Coturnix japonica: one gene and its partners. The protein of the gene in region 3 purifies or fractionates together with the protein of the main gene of each other region. This does not show direct contact. Links are inferred from orthologs where the notes say so. Each region holds a gene or a part of one and is shown on either strand. Other genes may lie near its edges. The genes, in order: SKI, RUNX2 and SMAD1.

The links.
Region 1: the proteins of SMAD1 (region 3) and SKI purify together in Homo sapiens (affinity purification with western blotting, with the first as the bait; 3 studies listed by BioGRID). This does not show direct contact. The link is inferred for Coturnix japonica from reciprocal best matches to the Homo sapiens genes SMAD1 and SKI.
Region 2: the proteins of SMAD1 (region 3) and RUNX2 purify together in Homo sapiens (affinity purification with western blotting; 3 studies listed by BioGRID). This does not show direct contact. The link is inferred for Coturnix japonica from reciprocal best matches to the Homo sapiens genes SMAD1 and RUNX2.

The regions. Positions count from the first base shown.
Region 1 is NC_029536.1:1,498,575-1,505,114, forward strand, and holds the start of SKI (ski oncogene), read right to left. Parts: upstream 4,256-6,540; 5' UTR 3,194-4,255; exon of another isoform or gene 3,089-3,193; 5' UTR 3,079-3,088; coding exon 2,167-3,078; intron 1-2,166. UniProt on the Homo sapiens protein: May play a role in terminal differentiation of skeletal muscle cells but not in the determination of cells to the myogenic lineage. Functions as a repressor of TGF-beta signaling.
Region 2 is NC_029518.1:99,720,696-99,727,188, reverse strand, and holds the start of RUNX2 (runt-related transcription factor 2), read right to left. Parts: upstream 4,070-6,493; 5' UTR 4,039-4,069; coding exon 3,739-4,038; intron 1-3,738. UniProt on the Homo sapiens protein: Transcription factor involved in osteoblastic differentiation and skeletal morphogenesis. Essential for the maturation of osteoblasts and both intramembranous and endochondral ossification.
Region 3 is NC_029519.1:27,357,089-27,362,831, forward strand, and holds part of SMAD1 (mothers against decapentaplegic homolog 1), read left to right. Parts: intron 1-1,988; 5' UTR 1,989-2,213; coding exon 2,214-2,613; intron 2,614-5,743. UniProt on the Homo sapiens protein: Transcriptional modulator that plays a role in various cellular processes, including embryonic development, cell differentiation, and tissue homeostasis.

The DNA of each region.
Region 1 (6,540 bases), on a different chromosome or scaffold from region 3:
AGACACGGATCATCCTTTCATTTCCTTACTAGGCATCTAAACTTTACTCCAGTGTTACTTGCCCCTGGCCACAGCCTACGAACCTTAGAGCCAGATTAAATCTCGCCGTAATTATCCACACGTTCTGCTACAACACAAATGACCTTAGCATATGATATCCGTTGGCTAAGCCCTATGGAAAAAGGCTACAGAAAAAGGAAGGATAAGCGTTCAAAACTCCACCAGTGATGTCAGGGCCTCCCCAAGACCGCAGCACACGAATAGGAGCCGAGAAGACAACTTAAAAGCCTGGAAACTCCAAGGCATCCTGCACAGGATGTGTGCTATCCTGTCATCTGAGCACACACACACACACACACACCACGCCATCCTTCCCACTCCCAAGTGAGCCTACACAGCAGACTTTTAACATCTTCTCGTCTAATTTTTGGCACCCGCTGTCAGGTACTATCAGGTATTATCAGGTATCCTGAAGTCACTCTCCGAGATGTGGTTGCAAACACATTTTGGAGGGTGAGGTGAAAGAGTGTTTGCCATGCTCTGAGCTCGGACTGATAGTTGGGGATCACCAAACGAGTAAAGCAAAGCCAAAACTTTGCAGTCCTGTCTTGTTCTCCACCTGCCCCCTCACCTGGGGGCACAGCAGAGCAGCGCCGTAAGAGCCCGGTAAGAAAAGGAATGCGGACCTTTAAAAGCGTTCATTTAAATCACACTGTGGAAATGACCAACCCAGGCACACAACCCCCTCCCAGAAGGAAGAAAGTGGGGATTCTTTTCTTTAGTTTCCCAGAGCACGCCCAAGGAAATTCAGCCCGTCTCCGCTGCCGGAGCCCTTTTCTCCTCTCGCAGACATTCATGCGCATCTTCCCCAGCATCCCCTTAGCACATGACTGACGGAGAATAGACAAGCCATTAAAAACACATCCACCTCCAGCCACGGAGATAATGGGGCTCATTACAACCCCGCTTTGTCACAGCGGCTCTGACACTCCGACAGGAGGAAAGGGGGGGGGGGGGTGAGGACGAGGACCGAAATGGGGGCTAGGGGGGGCTGAACACCTCCTCGCTTTGCTTTTTGCTTTTTAACTTAAGCCATATGCAGCCTGAGCGTTTATCTGCACGTTTAAACAGGTATTTGGGAAGTTAACCGAGAATTTCACCTAACGCTCTCAGAAAGCTTGAAAAGTTCCTGTTCTTTTGTGATTGCCCCTCCACTGCGGACATAAAACCGAAGAAAACTTCCAAGAACTGTGATGGAGGAGGCAGAATCTGCCCCCAAACCTGCAGGCCAGGCTGCTCTGCTTTGATTTTACCTTCCTCGTGGGGGGGGGCTGAGAAGGGGCAGAAGCTGCCTCCCCCCTTCCCCTCCCCCCCCGGTGCCCACCCACGGCCCCTTCGCCCACACAGAGGGAATGGTGGGGTCTGCAGGCAGCCCAGGCTGCAAGGAAAACACAGGGCACCTGAAAAACGCTGTCTGGCCTCAGGACAGCAGGGCACAACGCAACGAGCTGCTGCATCTGGCCCTTCAGATCCATTTACGTACACATAATCCGATATACAAAAGCCTGTCTTGCTGGGGAGAGCCAGACTCCGCTGGGATCCCCTAAAAGCACAGAGCTCGCTCCCGTTCTGCACTCCAATGAACACCAGTAACCTGCATTACATTCTCAGCGGCCACGTTTTATTCCAGCTCAGCCCCTGCCTCCATCCCTGGGGGCACGCAGTTGAGGAGAAAATCGTCTGCATTCGTGTCTGGGGCCATCAGAGTTATTTTCCCCTCCTTTCTTTCCCATCTTGACCTCCAAGCGAAGCTCCCGGCGCCCCAAATCACTTCCTGCTCAAGTGGGGCAGCGTGATGGGTTTCAAAGATCAGGTTCTGTGTACAATACGATACACAAACACATACAGCAGAATCAAACTCCAGCTCCCGAGCTCAGCACAAAACCAGAGGAAAAAGGGGAAAAAAAAGGAGCCATGTCGAACGCTGCTCGTCTACATGAACGCACACGTGGTGAGAATTAAGAACGCGATTAGATTGCTAAACGACTCTAAAAGGAAAACGGTTGGTAACAAATTGAGTACATCTATGGACGTCATCGAAAATCCCTTTTCTCTCTTTCTTCACCCTGGCTCCTTCTTAAAATAAGAATTTAAGGCATCACTTACCCTGGGGGCTTTCCTCTTGTATTTGTTGTTATAGTCAAATTTTTCTTTCATTTCATCTAAGAGCTGGCCCAGCCGAGCTTTCTCCTCTTTCCCAGTGTAATCCTGGCTGAGGAGGATGTAGGACCTCCAGTTTGCAGAGTCAAAGCCCCAATGGCAAGTCCTGTTTTCCAGGGATTTGTGAGAGTGGACCACAAATTTGTGAGGCGGGTACATGAGCCTGCAGTCCAAGCACTGGATGCAGGCTGCGCTGGGGTTACTGTAAAGCTCTGGTACCAGGAGTCCCTTACACTTCCCAAAGCACTCATGGTACACCTTGAAGCTCTTCTCTGTAAGCTCCAGCTCAATCGTGCTAGAGAATTCCTTCTTGCAGTGGGGAGGATAGGTGCCACCATAAAGCAAGGCGTTGCAAAGCCTCTCAGCGTCAGTTTTAGTGATCAGCCCGCACGAGGGGGCAGAGAAGGGCAAGATGCCCATGACTTTGAGGATCTCCAGCTGGTCAGCGGTGCACCTGGAGCAGTAAATGTGGAGCTCGTCGCACACCGAGTTGATCTGCTGCAGGGAGAAGTCCCTGAGCACCGAGTTCAGGATCTGGGGCAAGCAAAGGCGCTTTTCCCCACCCACCACGAAGCAGGAGATGGTTTCCCCTTCCAGGATGGTCTCGCACCTCTCAGTGGATCTGTCCGAGGGCATGAAGAAGGGACCAGGCATCACCGGGGGGGGCTGGATGGGGGGCAGATGCAGTACAGGTTCCGCGGGGTCTTTGCCATTGTCTTTCTTGTACATCTCCTGTGCCCATCGCGCTGAGAAAGCAGCAGGGCCACCCAGGGAGCTCATAGAGCTCAGATGAAACTGTTCCAAGGTCTTCTGCAGTCCTGGATGAGGCTGGAAGCTGCTTCTACTTACAGTCTCCATTTTTTAGTTTCTATTCCCAAAAACAAACAACAAAAAAATCCCCAATTATCTTCCACGCTGGTACAAATCCACTTAAGGGATTTTTTTCTTTTCTTTAAACAAAACAACAACCCACCCTTGTTGGTTTTTTTTCCCCCTTCCCACTCCGGTTTAACAATCCACAGTCGGCGAGGAAATAAATCCTTTTCGTTGGCGTTTCTTTCTCCTTTCTGTTCTCTCGCTCCGTCACAATCTCTCACCGTGCCCGGCCCGGCCGGAGCGCAGAGTCAAACCGAAGCCAGGTCTTCATCCGAGCACTGCCAGCCCCGGAACGCCGCTCCGAGCCGCGCTCCGGGCACCTCGGGTTAAATAAGAGCTGTTGGCTGCTGCTTCTCTGCAGCGATCCCGCTTGTGTCCATATCCACCAGGAGGAAGGAAAGTAAAAAGCAGGAGGAGGAAGGCGGCTCGGTGCGGGGAAGGGAGCGAGGCGGAATAGAATTAAAGGCCCCGATCTCCGACACTTCCGAAGCGGCGCTGCGGGCTGCCTGCCCCGAGCGCTCCGTTCGCTCGATCCGGCTCCCCGACGCCTCGCTCCCCTTTTCTTTCTTCCTTTCTTTTCTTCCTCTCGCTCTCAACGTGCCGTGGGGAGCCGCGCTAACATCCTCCCAGCTCCTCTTTCCAGCAGAGACTGAGAGTGCCTGAGAGCTGAGCTAATGCGGGCTGGCTCAGCCTCCCTCACTCCTCCTCCTCCTCCCCCCCGACTCTGTTTGTTGGTGTCTGCCTCAGTCATTGAATCCCGGCCAAGAATGTGACCAACTCCCCAGGCCGGGCTCTTCCAGGAACATCGGCCGCCTCCCCCCTCCTGCTCGGGCAGGCGCAGCTCGTTCAGCCCCGGGGGGAGGGAGAGAGGCTGGGTTCATAGAGCGGAGCGTCGCGAAGGAGGGGCGGCAGGGCTGGTGGGGGCTCGGCGTTTTATTTCTGGACGACAGTGAAAGAAATAAGGGAACAAACAGCACCTCGTGTACCCAACACCTGAACCGAACCGCTGCTAAACCTGCGAGCACCTGGTGTGGAGCACACACGGAATAACTGCAGCCCAACGGGGACCGACAGCCGGGACCCCGAGCAAGCGGAGCTGCGGGTGATGCAGCTCCGGGTGATGCAGCCGCTGCATCAAATGGCGGCGCCCGGAGGAACGTGGACGGGCCGAACCTGCGGCTCCGTGCAGGGAACGGCACCCCCTGGTGGCAGCTCCCCACCCGCCTGTCTGCCCTTCGGAACGGCTGGAGAGTTCGGAAAATACAGATACAAAACACGAGCCCCACAGCTCAGAGCTTTATCAGCGAGTCTAACGCAAAAAGAAGACGCTGGAAAGCTCTGCATACACACAACTAAGATATTAATGATGCAAGAGAGACTTGATGCGCTGCTCATAGTGCCTTGTGATGCAGAGACATTTGGTCTCTTCTGGAAGTTCACCACTATGGTATAAACGAAGATAAACCACAGTACAATAAAAAAGTGAAGCAAATCCAAACAGCTCCAAGAGCAAACAAACCCTCACCAAACCAAACAGGCTGAGGTTCAGCCAGGATCGATGCGGGCAGGGATCGCACCGAGTTCAGACGCTGTTTGTGTTTCTGTGCTCTGAAGTTCGAGCAGTCAAAGGGAAAAAGGCCTCACAGCTCAGCACAGAGCAGCACTTGGAGGCACCACTCATGCACCAGCTGTGTCCTCACACCCCAAGTCCAGAGAACTCCATGCTGCTGTTTGCACACAACAGCAGATCCCCCTGAGCCCATTAGGGATGTGGCATCCAAACAGGCTGCCAGCAAAAGAAGAGTTCACTACAGCACCAGATTCCTGCCTTAGATGGATTTAATTCTGCTTCATGCTTTTTTTTTTTGATGTTTTAAACTCTCTGAAATATAAACACGCAGACAGACTCAAACATCAAGTATAGATAATCCAATTTTGTTAAGAGCAAAATTGTCGTTTGCTGGAAGTCTGCTTAGTAATGGAAAAGCCTCTTAGTTCTGGATGCTGGGTTTTTTTTGCACTCCTTTTCCTTTACTCTTTGGGAATAAAGGACAGCAATAACCACAGCTCGTTTTAGGTGTTTGGTTGTTGTGTTTTTTTCCTTCCAAATGACTCTTTAATGTAAGTAAATTACTGGATTGGGCAACAGATGAGTGATTAACTCATGAGTGTGATCCATCAATGGAATTCCTGAAGCAGAGGGGACTACCAAAAAGACAGGAAGGATGGTCTGGTGGTTAAGACTAAACTCAGGACATCTGGGGTCCATTCCCAGATCTCCCACAGATTTCCTGTAGCCTTGGGCAAGTCGTTCAGTTCCTGCGTGCCTCAGTTTCTATGTCTGCTGTACTCAGATAGGAACTGATTAGAAGAGCAGCTTCTGAAATGAACTTCATGATGTGACAGAAACCAGTTTGCAACCCAGCTTGTATTTCCCTGTACCTACAGACTGCACAGAACTACACAACAGCGGGGCAGAAGGGGGAGCAAGGAGCACCAGGGATTAAGGTGGCAACACTTTCTGAAGCCTCTGCCACCCCAATGATGGACTGTGAATGCTGAGCATCTTAAGATCCTATTAATCTCTTCCCCAGTAACTGTTTGTCTTGCTTCAGTTCCAAAGCCCTCTAGCTGAAGAAAGGAGAAGGGAAAAAATATCTCGGAGGAAGGGCCCCAGCACCACACTGTTTTTCTCACTCTCTCCCTCTTCTCCTCCCCCTCTCCATTGGCTTCAAGGCCAACAGCTCCTGGAACACAAACACTCTTGTAAACTTCTGAACCACACAGCCCTGTGGTGGGTGGGTGTTTGCTCCCTGCCTGCCAGTTCCAATCCACCCACAGATTCCAAAGGCCCAGAACAAAAAGCAGATTCCATTTTCCATATTTAACAGGCAGTTCATTTCCCCCCACACCTCCTCATTGCCTTCATTTTGAAGAACTCAGTGCCTCTCACAAGTATCTTGTCCCACCCTCTACGTGTTGTCAGAGTACACTGCAGCACGGTTATGTGTATTTTTTACACGCTCACGTGAAAAGCTCAGTCAGGAAAACCCAAGGAATATAGAGAACCACATTGCAAATTGCAACTGTTGACAAAATGTTTGGGAAGAGTCAATTGGAAAGAAGAAAAGAAAGTAAAAAATGAAAGCATCCATGCAAATGTGACGCACCGAAATTCCTACAGTCTTACATTAGATGGTAAACTCATAACAGCAAGTATCTGTTATAACATCTCCCCATGTTTGGATGGTACATACTTATTTCTAACTACGACACACAGCTACTGAAGTAAGACCATTCCTGTGCAGCTGGGTCCCACCATTTTCTAGGTAAACCTTGGATTGCTGCACAACAAAATCCTCTCAATTTGACTAACGTTCTGATGGCTTATTTATAACATATATTGCAAGGGAAGACAATGACATTACTTTCTACCAAGATACA
Region 2 (6,493 bases), on a different chromosome or scaffold from region 3:
CACTGCAAACTTACAGCCACCCCAGTAAAGCACTGCAACCTTACAGCCACCCCAATAAGGCACTGCATCCTTACAGCCACCCCAATAAAGCACTGCAATATTACAGCCACCCCAACACCCAGCATTACAGCCACCCCCAATAAGGCACTGCAACCTTACAGCCACCCCAACACCCAGCAGGGCACTGCTAACCGTACAGCCACCCCAGTAAGGCACTGCAACCTTACAGCCACTCCAGTAAAGCACTGCAACCTTACAGCAAATCCCAATAAAGCACTGCAACCTTACAGCCACCCAAACACCCAGCAGGGCACTGCATCCTTACAGCCACCCCAATAAGGCACTGCAACCTTACAGCCACCCCAACACCCAGCAGGGTGGGTCTTCATGGCCTTTCAGATAGAACTCCCAGAGTCAACAGAGAGCCAAATCCCGATGGCTGCAGCCAACAAAAGGCTCTTACACATCACAAAGGGAACAGAATTGGGTGCACGGAGCACAGTGCCCATTGCTCTGCTGCCCGGGCACTGCAGCGTGGTCAGAGCAGCACCAGCAGGCACAGTTTGCACAGCCAACCTCACCACCTGGTCCGTGAGCCCCACGCAGACTCTCTCCCCGCAGCGTGTAAATATTAATACTGAAAATTCAAACGTGACGCTCAGCCAACGTTATTTCACAAAATGATAATCAAACCCAGCGCTGTTTATTGCACACTTCCTTCCCCGCGTGTGATTTATATCTAACTTCTTTCTCTTTTAAATTAAAACAGTGCTACATCCAGAGCACTTTTTAACTGGAGAGCTCTGCGAGAGAATTATGGCACACTTAACGCACCACTCAAAACATTATCATCAACATATTATTTATTGCCAATAAAACTTCAAAAACTCTGTTGTCTGTGAGCCATTTTACTTTCAAGTTTCTGCCTCGCTGAGATTCCTATAGCCCAAATCTGTCTCTTTTTTGCAGTGTTTTAGAGATAATTGCCATTCTGCTGTATCGCATCAAGTGTTTCACTGCAGCTTCTTCGGTCTGAAAGCAGCGGGCAGCTGCAGGAAAGCTGCACTGATAAATGAGATTCAAGTTTAAAACCTGTCCGATGGGTCCCAACCATCATTTTGCTATGCAGAAAGTCTTATCAGCGCCTGTTGCTGTATGGTACTTCTGCTCCTTGCTCACACCTTCTGCCTTGGCTGCACACAGTGTGGCCCTGTCAGCCTCCACCAGGAAACAAGGGCATCCAGACACGGCGTGTTTTAAGAGCATCTTATATGCTGCGTGTGACAGCTCAGAGCTGAAGGGACAACTCAGCACATCGATAAACCTCCCGCATCCACACCTGCCTGCAGCCCCACACACCACCCAAATATCAGAACCTATGAGCACAAACACGCTGGGATGCGCTCTCGCTCTTTGCTCTCGCTCTTTGTAAGTCCTTTTATCACATGTACTGGAATAACATCCTAAATACCACTCAGCTGAGCCCCACTGCCTCCCTGCAGTGAGCTGGGACCGCACGCTCTGGGTGGCTGCAGGGCAGGGGCACGCTCAGCCTTTTCAAACGGAAGCAGAAATACAGAAGCAATAACACAGAGCCCTCACGTTACTTCTATAGGAAGGAACTACAACACTGAGCTCACCTACAAGCAAATTAATCACAACTGCGATCCTGGGAGACAACTCCTCACGCCAGGAATCAGAGCCAAGCTCTGACCTGAGCCTCACAGACTGGAGGCACCCCATAACCTAGTGGCACCCTGTAACCTGGTGGCACCCCATAGGCCCCACAGCACCCGCAGACCCAGTGGCAGAACACACCCCACTTTCTGCTATTTCCACCCAAGCACAAGGCAGGCCCTATGCAGGGTAACTGCAGCTACAGACCCAGCAGGTCTCTGCCCCTCTGCCTTCATCTCTACTCCCTCTGATAGCAAAGTGCCAGCAGCACACCGCCTTTATGGCCAGACACACCAAAACCAGCTCTTTCAGCTGTTTTGACCCATTTTATTTCCCCGACAAAACAAAGATAGCGTGGCTGGCATGCAGAAAACACAACCCAAGGGGTCGTTCTGGCAGCACTGGGGTGCAGGGCTGCTCCCAGGCTGTGCCCGTGAGCCACTGCAGGCAAGTGCTGCCGGCCTTAGGACATGGTTGGGGGGCTCAGTGCAGCCGTGCAGGGCTGTGGGGAGGACGGAGGGCTGCAGAACACAGCACACAGCCGGGGCTGCTACTGCAGCTTTTAATAAACGTTTTCCTCTCATCAGCGTGCGCGGGGATGGAGGCAGAAAATGAGAATCTTAACACCCCCCCCAACCACTCCGTGGAGGCCAGGAGAAGTGAGTGGGTTCCCCCATCAGGACCCCAATCCCTGCACTAAACCCATGTGCGCCCCCTCCCCAGCTCCAGGAGCTGGGACACGAGGCTGGGATTTTGGGGGTGCCCCTCAGGGAAGGTTTGGAGGCAGCACCCGTTCTGCATCCCTGCACTGAGCTCTTGCAGATGGATGAATCTCGTTATAAGAAAACTTCTTTTTTTAAAGGAAAGCTGCTAAGAGGCTCAGTGGGGTGCTGTGGTGGTGGCACAGGGACGGGGGGAGCCCAGAGGGGGGCAATGCTTTAAGGGAATAGAAATAACATGACTGATCCCAGAGGTTGGGAGGGTTCGGTGGCACAGCACACACTGCAGCACGGGGGGGGCACAGCGTGCCCTGCAGGATGGGAGGGCATGAGAGGGTCTGCAGAGAGGGGGTAAGGATGTTCTATGGGACAGAGAGGAAACAGGGAGCACTGCAGGGCAGAGAGGGCTCAGGATGCACAGTGGGATGCGGGGGCATGGCAGACAGAAGGATGGGGGTATGTGAGGCAACGCCAGGACGGGGGGGGGGGGGGCAGGAGGAACTGGAGCACCGAGGGTGGCACGGAAGACCCTACGGAGCCTTGGGACACACACACTGTGCAGAAGGGACACAGAAATCAGTGCAGATGGGGGGCACAGGAGGCAATGCAGCACGGGATGGGGGCACAGGAGGCACTGTAGGGGCACAAGAAGTCGCTGTAGGATGGAGAAGCAAAAGACTCAAGGCAGGAATGGGCACACGCATAGGAGCTGTTGCGGAATGGGGGGGCACAGAAGTCAGTGTAGGACAGAGGGGGCACAGAACTCATTGCAGGATGAGGGGATGCACGGTGCAGGATGGGGGGGCGGGAGGGGGCTGAAAGGGGGAGAGACACAGAAGTCAAAGAAAGCCCGGGGTGCACAGGAAACTTTGTAGGACTGGGGGTCACAGAAGTCAGTGCAGGATGAGGTCTGCAACAGAAGTCCGTGCAAAACGAGAGGGGGGCACACGAACAGTTACTGCAGCACGGGGAGGGTGGGAAACACGGAGATCATTGGCGGAGGGCGGGGGGGTAAGTGGGGGGGGCACAGAAGTCAGTGCGCGGGTGCACAGAAAGTCAGTGTATGGGCTCAGAGCTCAGTGAGGCGGGCGGAGGGGGCGGGAGGCATCAAGAGGATTGGGGCGGGGAGGGGGCAGCACAGAGGAATGGAGGGGGGGTGGGGGCACAAGGAACGATGGGATGAGAGGGGCTCAGAAGTCATCGCGGGAGGCACTACCGGGGGGGGGGGGGCACGGCGGGCATTGCGGGCTGGTGGGGGCGAACACCGCAACGCCTGCGGGCGGAGGTGATGGGGAAGGGGGGGCGAGCGGCCGCTGTCAGCGCGGGGGGGAGAAGCGCTCACCTTGAAGGCGACGGGCAGCGTCTTGTTGCAGCGCCAGTGGGAGGGCAGCACGGAGCACAGGAAGTTGGGGCTGTCGGTGCGCACCAGCTCCCCGGGGTGGTCCGCGATGATCTCCACCATGGTGCGGTTATCGTGCGGCCGCAGCCGGGGCACGGCGGCTTCTTGCTGCTGTTGCTGTTGCTGCTGCTGCTGCTGTTGGGCCACTACGACCGGGCTGACCTCGCTCATCTTGCCGGGCTGCAGGCTGCTGGAGGGGGGGGTGAAGCGCCGGCTGGTGCTGGGATCTACGGGGATACGCATCACAACAGCCACAAGTTAGCGAATTGGGGGGCGGGGGGGCGGGGAGGGGGGGGGGAAAAAAATCGGGGGGAAAAAAAAAAAAAGAAAAAAGCAAGGAAAAAAAAAACAACACAACGGCACAAAAAGAATTAAAAAAAAAGCCCCAGATCTCAGTCTGTTGTCGTTCGTTCGCTCGGGGCTGCGCTGCCCTCAGCTACGCCCGGCGCTGCGGCTCCGTCCCGCAGCGCGTCCCTGCCCGGAGCCGCTTCTCCTCCGTCCGTCCGTCCGTCCTTCCCCGCTTCCAGCCGCCGCTCCTGCTCTCAGCGCCGCGCGACTTTCTCTCCTTTTTCCTTCCTCTCCCTTCCCGTCCGCTTTTCGGGCTTGAAGAGGGGGCGAAGGCAGCCGGCTGTGCTCGCCGCTTCAAGAGGAGCGTCACTCGCAATGAGCGAAGGGGAAACGTCCCGGTTTCCTCCGAAGAATTCTTCCTCCTCCTCCGGCCAAACAAACGGCGAAGAAAAAGGGAGCGAAGCCTTAGCGCCGTGCCGGGGCTGCGGTGCGAGGAGCGGTGCGGGGCTGAGCGCCGGGAGCGGCCCGGGACGAAGATCGGGGCTCAGGGCGAGTCCGGCGCCCGGCTTCCAAACGGCAGCATCGTCGGGAGGGGGCAAAAAAGAGAAGAACCCCCCCCCCCCGGAGCAGCCCTGTGCGGGCTGATTCCGAAACTATGCCCGAGGAAACGGTGGGGAAAGGCAGCTTCGGTGCGGTCCGGTCCGGTTAATTGAGTCGCTGCTGGATCCGAGTCCGGGGAGCCGAACCGGGTAACTGGAATCGCTCGTTTGGTTTGGTGGGGTTAATTTTTAGGGGGGCGGTTGTTTGGTTTTTTTTTTCCCCCCTTTTCTCGATGAACAGCAGCAGGCAAAAAAAAAGTCACTGTCTCAGCAGTCATTCAGGTGTCGCTTTGCGGGAGTTACGCTCCGCTCTCCGAAAAATCGCGTCGGTCGAGAACGATAAAGAATATATTAAAAAAATAAAAGGCGAAAAGCAACAAAAGTTCTTTCGGGTGCCGAAGAGCTGCGTGCGGGGAGGCGGAGGAGCCGAGAGGGGGGAGAAAAAACAACACGCAGGAAAAGAAAAAAAAAAGAAAAACAAGAAGAAAAAAAAAACTCCGCAGTCTTTTTTTTTGTCCTGAATGCGGTTTTTTTTTTTCTTTTGGAGGCTGGGACTTCTAATGATTAGGGGGTTTGTGGTTTATATATACGGGGCTCTCCGGCTGGGGCCATCATTATGCTGATGAGAGTCAGCAGCACGTGGTGCTGCGCTCCTCAGCCTTCTGCAGCCTTCAAAATAAATACAACAATGTGCATCCCCCCCCACAACCCACCCCGCTCCAACCCCCCCCCCCCAAGGAGGAGAGCCCTCGCCTGGAGCCGCCCGCAGCCGCGGGGAGGGGGCCGGGCCGAGGAAAGGAGGGGGGGTCAAGAGGGGGGGGGGGGGGGGGGCGATGCGCGTCAAGTTTGCCGCTCCGGGTTTTTTCCATTAACACTTTGGGGTTGGTTTGTTTGGTTGATTGATTTGTAAAAGAAAAGAAAAAGTCTGTTTTGCCATATATTCAAGAGAGAGAGTCAGGTGGCCAAGGTTGTGCTAAGAACTCCGGTATACTAAAGATCTAATTTCTTGAATGAATGAAAACATCTATGCAGCATCCCCCCCCCCCCCCACCCCCCCCGTTAAGGTAAAGGCAGGCGGGTTTGTTTTCTCCCTTTAAAAAAAAATAAAATTAAAAATCAAAAAGGGCAGAAATCTTATTTAAAACAATTTTACATACCCATGTAAACAAAGTGTCGCCGCCCCAGGCACACAGACCGACCTCATCCGGCCAGCCCCATCTTAACACAAAGTAGCTCATATAATCTCAGTGCAGGCCAACCTCCTCCTGCTCCACGCGCCCACCACCAATTCCCGGGCCCGCCCGCCCTTCACACAGCCCTCTTTCCCCCGGACCGGACAACCACCAAACACCCACCCTGCCAACCGGACGCGACCGCAGCAAGAGAAACACACCGGGCTGGCGAAACCAGCGAGGCTGCAAGGCAGGGGGGGGGTAGGAAAGGCCACACAGCAGAGAGCAGGGAACCTGGCGCTGCAGCCCCGGGCCGCGGTGCGGGTCAGGCATATTTAGCGACGCTAGGGGTAAGATGCCGAACAAGATGGCGGCGTGGGTGCATAGGTCGCTTGTGGTGCTCGGGGGGCGCGACACTTTTGCATTACCAATGTATGTAAAATTTTTTTAAATAAGATCTGCCAGCTTTTTTTAATTTTTTTTAAATTTTTTTTAATTTTGAATTTTTTTTAAGGGAGAAAACAAACCCGCTGCGCTGCGTTTACCAGCTATAGAGAAAAAGATAAAGGGGTGGGGGTGGGGTTGGCGGAAGATATAGCGTTTCGCTCTATCCAGCCATGCTTTTGCATTTTCACAGTT
Region 3 (5,743 bases):
TGCTGGGTCTCTGATAATAAAATTGTTGAAATAAAACAGCATTTTAGTACAGCACTTTTGAATGTATGTAAGGATAAAATATACCTGGAGTGCAGTCAGTGACAGTAATGGAGTTTTAGTTCAGTTGCCAGTATGGCTTATGCTCAGGTAAGAAAATCTATTGTTAAATTTGCCCCAGGCTTATGCATTTCTCCCATTGCACTGACATTATTATTTCAAGTAGAAGTCTCAGAATAAATGAATGGAAAGTACCAGGATGAAGCGCAGGTGGATGCAGTCTTTGTCTTAGTTTAAGATCATTATTCACATAAATGTAGTTTATACATTTGACCTAATAAAATGGAACCTTTGCAATTAGATAATTATTTTAGTGACAACTTATTTGAATCAAGTGGATGGTTTTCAGCTTGAAGTACTCTAAGTGTAGAGGTACGCAATGAAATTACAGTTATGACAGTTAGGAGCATAAGTGTGGCTTAGCAATTAAAATTTCAAGATCCATAATTATTTTTGATTATAAACTTGCAATTCAGGCTCATGGCTGCTCTGATACCTTCTAACCTGTCTGTGTATGGGCAGCGTATGGATTTTTTGTGGTGGGTTGTTCTGTGTTTTTTGTTTGTTTGTTTGTTTTGTTTTGTTTTTTGGTGTTTCTGATGGTAACAAAAACATTTCTATCCTTTTCCTCTTCCCTCTTCCTCTGCAACCTCTCGGTATCTGCTCTGGGATACATTTCCTGTCTGTCTTCATACTTAATTTGAATGCTTCTGTTTTAGTGCTCCTTATCTCCTTGTTCCTTGTGGCAGAGGTGAGTCTCTTGTTTGCTCATAACCTGAGTAAACGTGAAGCCCGCTGCTTGCAGAAGACCCTGTAATGGGGATTTCTCTGCATGCAGAGTTCTACTCCTCCCTTCACCCATTGCTTCATTGCTGTTTCACACCTCCCAACCTGAAGATCACAGTACTACCTCAAACCCTCTTATCAGTTCTTCCTCCTTCCTGCTCCTTCATGTGTCTTTGAGCACATCAGGCTGGCACTGTGAAGGGAGGGGTCAGGATGTAGTCAGTGATGTCTTTCCCTTTCATTCTGTTTAGGTGAGGGCTTTTTAGTGGGTTAGGAAGACAGAGCTTTGCTTTCTCGTGGGGAGCTGAATGAGGGCACAGATCTTTCTAGTTTCCTGTTCTGCTTTTGGTTTGTCACTCAGACTAACTCAGGTGAAGCTGAACAGTTTGTCACAGATTGTGATATGCGCAGATCCCATGCAGTTATTCTCAAATCGTATTGCTTGTAGAGATCTGGGTAGTGCAGTGCTGTTGAGGTATGTTGCTTCCACCTTCACTTGGAAATCAAAACCAAAAGTTTTGGTTTGATTTCATCCTGTATGAGTTTATTGGGACGTTTTGCTGTGTGAAGTTGCCAAGCTGATAGGCTGTGGGGAGTGTACTTTTCACTTAGCGGTGAAAGATAAAAAATGGGGGGCTGTTTTAGGCTACACTTGGGCTGTGAGCAGGAACATTATTTGAAGTTGGCAAATGCAGTTGCCCTTGCTACATGGCACAAAAATCACTGAGGCTATATCGCGTATTGGATGCGGGCGGGAACTGAGCAGAGGGATAGTTGTCCTACCTTCTAAGTTTCCCTACCTTTGCACTTCCTTCCTGCTTCTCTCTAACTCCCTTCAACCATTTTGTTCTGTTTTGTTTATGCAGTGCCACTGTTTTTCAGGGCAATCCCCTCATTTATTTAGGACTGTTTTGGTAGCAAGAGTATAAAGACTTTACCAGCATGCTCTGCTATTTAAAGGTCCTTGTCAGGCTGTTCCTTCAGTCTGATGTTGAGACTGCTGACACTTTGTGGTGGCGGTTTTTTTGTTGTTGTTGATCGGTTGGGTTTTGGTCACCCTGGCCCTGTGGGGTGGAATGTTTCTGACTGCTGGTGGTTAATTGACAAAGTGAAATCTGTTTTCCTTTTTCGCTCTTCTCCTGCAGGTTCTCAGCCGGAAGGCTTTAGCAAGATGAGAAGGCCACATCTGTCAAGGGGAACTGTCAGCATGGCCGTCCTGGGACGGGAGGACTGAAATAGCAGAAGCACCACAATATTTGGGCAGACTGCTTTTGACTACTGATTAAAATCTGCAGTGCGGCTGCGGTGGAAGAACAGGACAGTCTCTCCTGCTTGGTCTGTGGTATCCAGTGTGACCAAGTGAGGTCACCATGAACGTGACAAGTTTGTTTTCCTTCACCAGCCCGGCAGTGAAGAGGCTGTTGGGGTGGAAGCAGGGGGATGAAGAAGAAAAATGGGCGGAGAAGGCTGTTGATGCACTAGTGAAAAAACTGAAGAAGAAAAAAGGTGCTATGGAAGAACTGGAGAAAGCATTAAGCTGTCCTGGTCAGCCCAGCAACTGTGTCACAATTCCTCGGTCCTTGGATGGCCGGCTTCAGGTTTCACACCGGAAAGGGCTGCCACATGTAATTTACTGCAGAGTGTGGCGCTGGCCAGACCTGCAAAGCCATCATGAACTGAAACCACTGGAATGCTGCGAGTTTCCTTTTGGTTCTAAACAGAAGGAGGTCTGCATCAATCCTTACCACTACAAGCGGGTAGAAAGTCCTGGTAGGTTCTTCCTTGTTTGTACCTTTGCGCCTTATCTAAACAATGCAAAGTGTGGCAGTTAATCATGTGACTCATCAGCTTAAGTAAGCAGTAGTCGCTGTTTGCACACGTCAGATTTGTACTTTGCAATCTGTCTGGATATAAGCATTGATTCGCAGTTCTCCCTTTCACAGGGTGAATACTTGCCATATATAAATGCATTTTGTCACTGTGCAGCAGCATACTGTCTGTGTGTGCCTTAAGTTGCTGGATCTCTTGCCTCCTGGTTTTGTTGGTGGCCACTATCCCTCAGTTCATTTTATTTTTTTATATTTTTACTGAACAGCGCAGTTTGAGCATGTATGAAATGTTGCAAGCTAACAGGAAGGGTAACTGCGTTTAGTGGGTGAAAAACTTTCTGATATGATCTTACTGTTATTATTTCACTTCTATCACTTCTTTTCCTTCACCCTTCAGAAGATACTACGGTCTTTAAGGTTGCCTTCAGCTTTGGCCTTTGAAGTCTGAGGTTTTGGTTGCTTTTTATTTTTTTTTTTCAGACACGGAATATACCCTCTCAACCTGGAGCTTTGATAGTGGGGTTTATTTTGTACATGATGTTTTACCTTTAGTTGTTCTGCAAGTGGAATGTGTTTACCCATTACCCACTTCCACGCTTTAACAAGTGCAGCCTGTTCTCTGTCTCCTCTTCAAGGGCCCAACCCGCTTTTAGTAAATCTGTGCTTGATTTGCTTGTGTGAGTTTGTTTTCAGAATATTTCCAGGGACTAAGATGAAATGTGCGTAAACATGTCTCCACTGGTCTCTAGTTACTTGTGAGGTTGTACAGGGACATCTGCAGAAAATGCACTGCAGGTGTGAGAGGGCTTTTCTGGTTTAAATTTAGGAAATCTGCCTGTGTTAGGCACTTTGTAAACTGCGGAGCTGTTTCTGCAGAGTGGCATGGATTGCTTAAGAACTGCAGTGGAAATGACGTTGTTACCTGATTATTTTCCTGTGAATGGAAATAGCATTTATCTTGGAATTGCAACACGTAGCGTATATCTAGATGGCAAATATTTCCCTTTGGTGTGTTAGTATTAGTTTGGAAATCGTGTGTGTGATATCCATAAAATATGGCTTTTATGCAGCAGATGCTTAAACAAAAAGCTTAAACACTGCACTGGAGGAAGAAAAAAAGAGGAGTTTTAACAAATGTTAAGGGTTGTGTGTTGAGCAGAAGTGGGACAATAAAATAAATAGTTTGTATTACTAGTTTTCTGCATGTGTCTGCACCTGGTGTGTATGTTCAGTGTTCCAAAGTACTGAAAACTAAGATTCCCAAAGCACATCTAGTTCGGTCAGAGTGAGCAGCAGTTGGGCTCTTGCTGTCATGGTAACACCAAGTGATGTGTTACAGCTCATTTCCCTTTCGTCTTGGAAGCAGTTACCAAGTCTGAGAACATTCTAATTCTTATCATTTATGCCATATTTAAGACTATATTTGTAAGTGTCCTGTCACTTCACTGAGATCTGCATGGTAAAAATAGAATAGAACTTTCAAAAGATGTCTAACTAAAATGTGCTGAGTACTGTTAGGTAGCCCAAGTGGTTGGAAAGTGGTTTTGGGCCCTGAGTCACCTTCTACATTTTGTAGTTGGGAACCAGCAAAATGTTATTTTTTGAATTTGGGATTCCTGCTGTTTTAGGGTAAAATACAAATTTCCAGAGTTTGTGTAGTTTGTGCTGGGGAGAAAACAAAGAGTGACTTAATCAGTTTGGAGATGGTAGCAATGAAATATTTCCCGCTGCTCAGCCAGTGCCCCTCAGGAAAAACTAAGTACTTCTGGTTATCACCTTAGTAAGCAACTGGGCAGTTTGCTTGTTTACATCAGGGCTGGAATGGCCTTGACAGAGCTGATGAAAGGATTTCATCCACCGGAAGATCGATGTGCTGCTCTGACCAGCTGAAATTTACTGGAGGGGAGTGTTGAGCAGGAGCTGCCTTCTGCCTAATGAGTCGTGGGGCTGCAGGTATAAAGTTGTGTGTATGTTGGGGTCTCATCTTAAGAACTTTTCCAAAGTTCCACAATGCCAGAGTGGGGTCAAAGCCTTAAGTTTTTACTGAGGTCTCTGGCTGGGTTTGTGAAGGAGGTTTTTCTACTTAATTAACGCTGTAGATCAATCATTGTTTTGAGGGATATTGCATGGAGATAAATTTGGAATACGTGGCTTTTGGGAGCAGGTGGTAACTGAGCTGCCATTTGGCCTAGAGATGTGCACTTCATAAGTTACAGTATCTCTTCCTTTCCCTTCCCTGTTGTTTGTCCCCAGAGTGTCACTCTCAGCTTCAGTTCCTGACAGTCGCTCTCAAACTTGGCTAACTGTTTTTCCCCATTTTTGCCTGGACATTAAAACACCATTATTGCTTCCTAAGTGCTTATGCTTTGAGATTAATGGATTGGGGGAATTCACACATGAGTCACTGTTTCCAAGCAGATATCGAGACTTGTGTTTCCAAGGTTATCACAGCCAGGAGGATTGGAATTATACTTGACTAAATGAAGCTAGAAGCTCGAGAGAGTGTGTGATGGTCACTGTGCAGGCTGTACAAGTATATTGTGATATCCTGGCTCTGCCTGCCAGCTTGGTCAGTGCTTAACTGCCTCAAACAGACCCAGCTCCTCAGGAGCTGCTCTGTAGGGCGCTGCCTGGGATGGGATCAGTGTGCTCTGTTCACTTTCCTGTTAGTTGTCACGTGGCTGGTGTTTGTGTAAGTTCTGAAGAGTGGATTAACGGTAAATCCTCAAATAGATAACATCATGTAGTGCTTTCAGTTGGGAAATTGGTCTCACAAATGCTTTTATGTTTTCACGGTGCTAGAAGGGGTGCATCCTTGCTATCCAGCTTAAAAACACAAGCTTGGAAATCATTGCAGTTGGTGTGCTTTAGTCTGTCTGCGGACTACAGTGTTACACCTGAATTCAAGTGAGGTTTTTCTCCATTAGCTAGGTTGGATAAAAACCAGTTGCAAGGAGTTGTGGGGAGGCTGAGGAGAGAACTGCCTGGAGTTTCAGAGCCTCCCAGGTGTCCCCAACCGCTGGTATCCAGTAAGAGACTTGGGTGTGATTTGGTGGTATGATGGTAACACC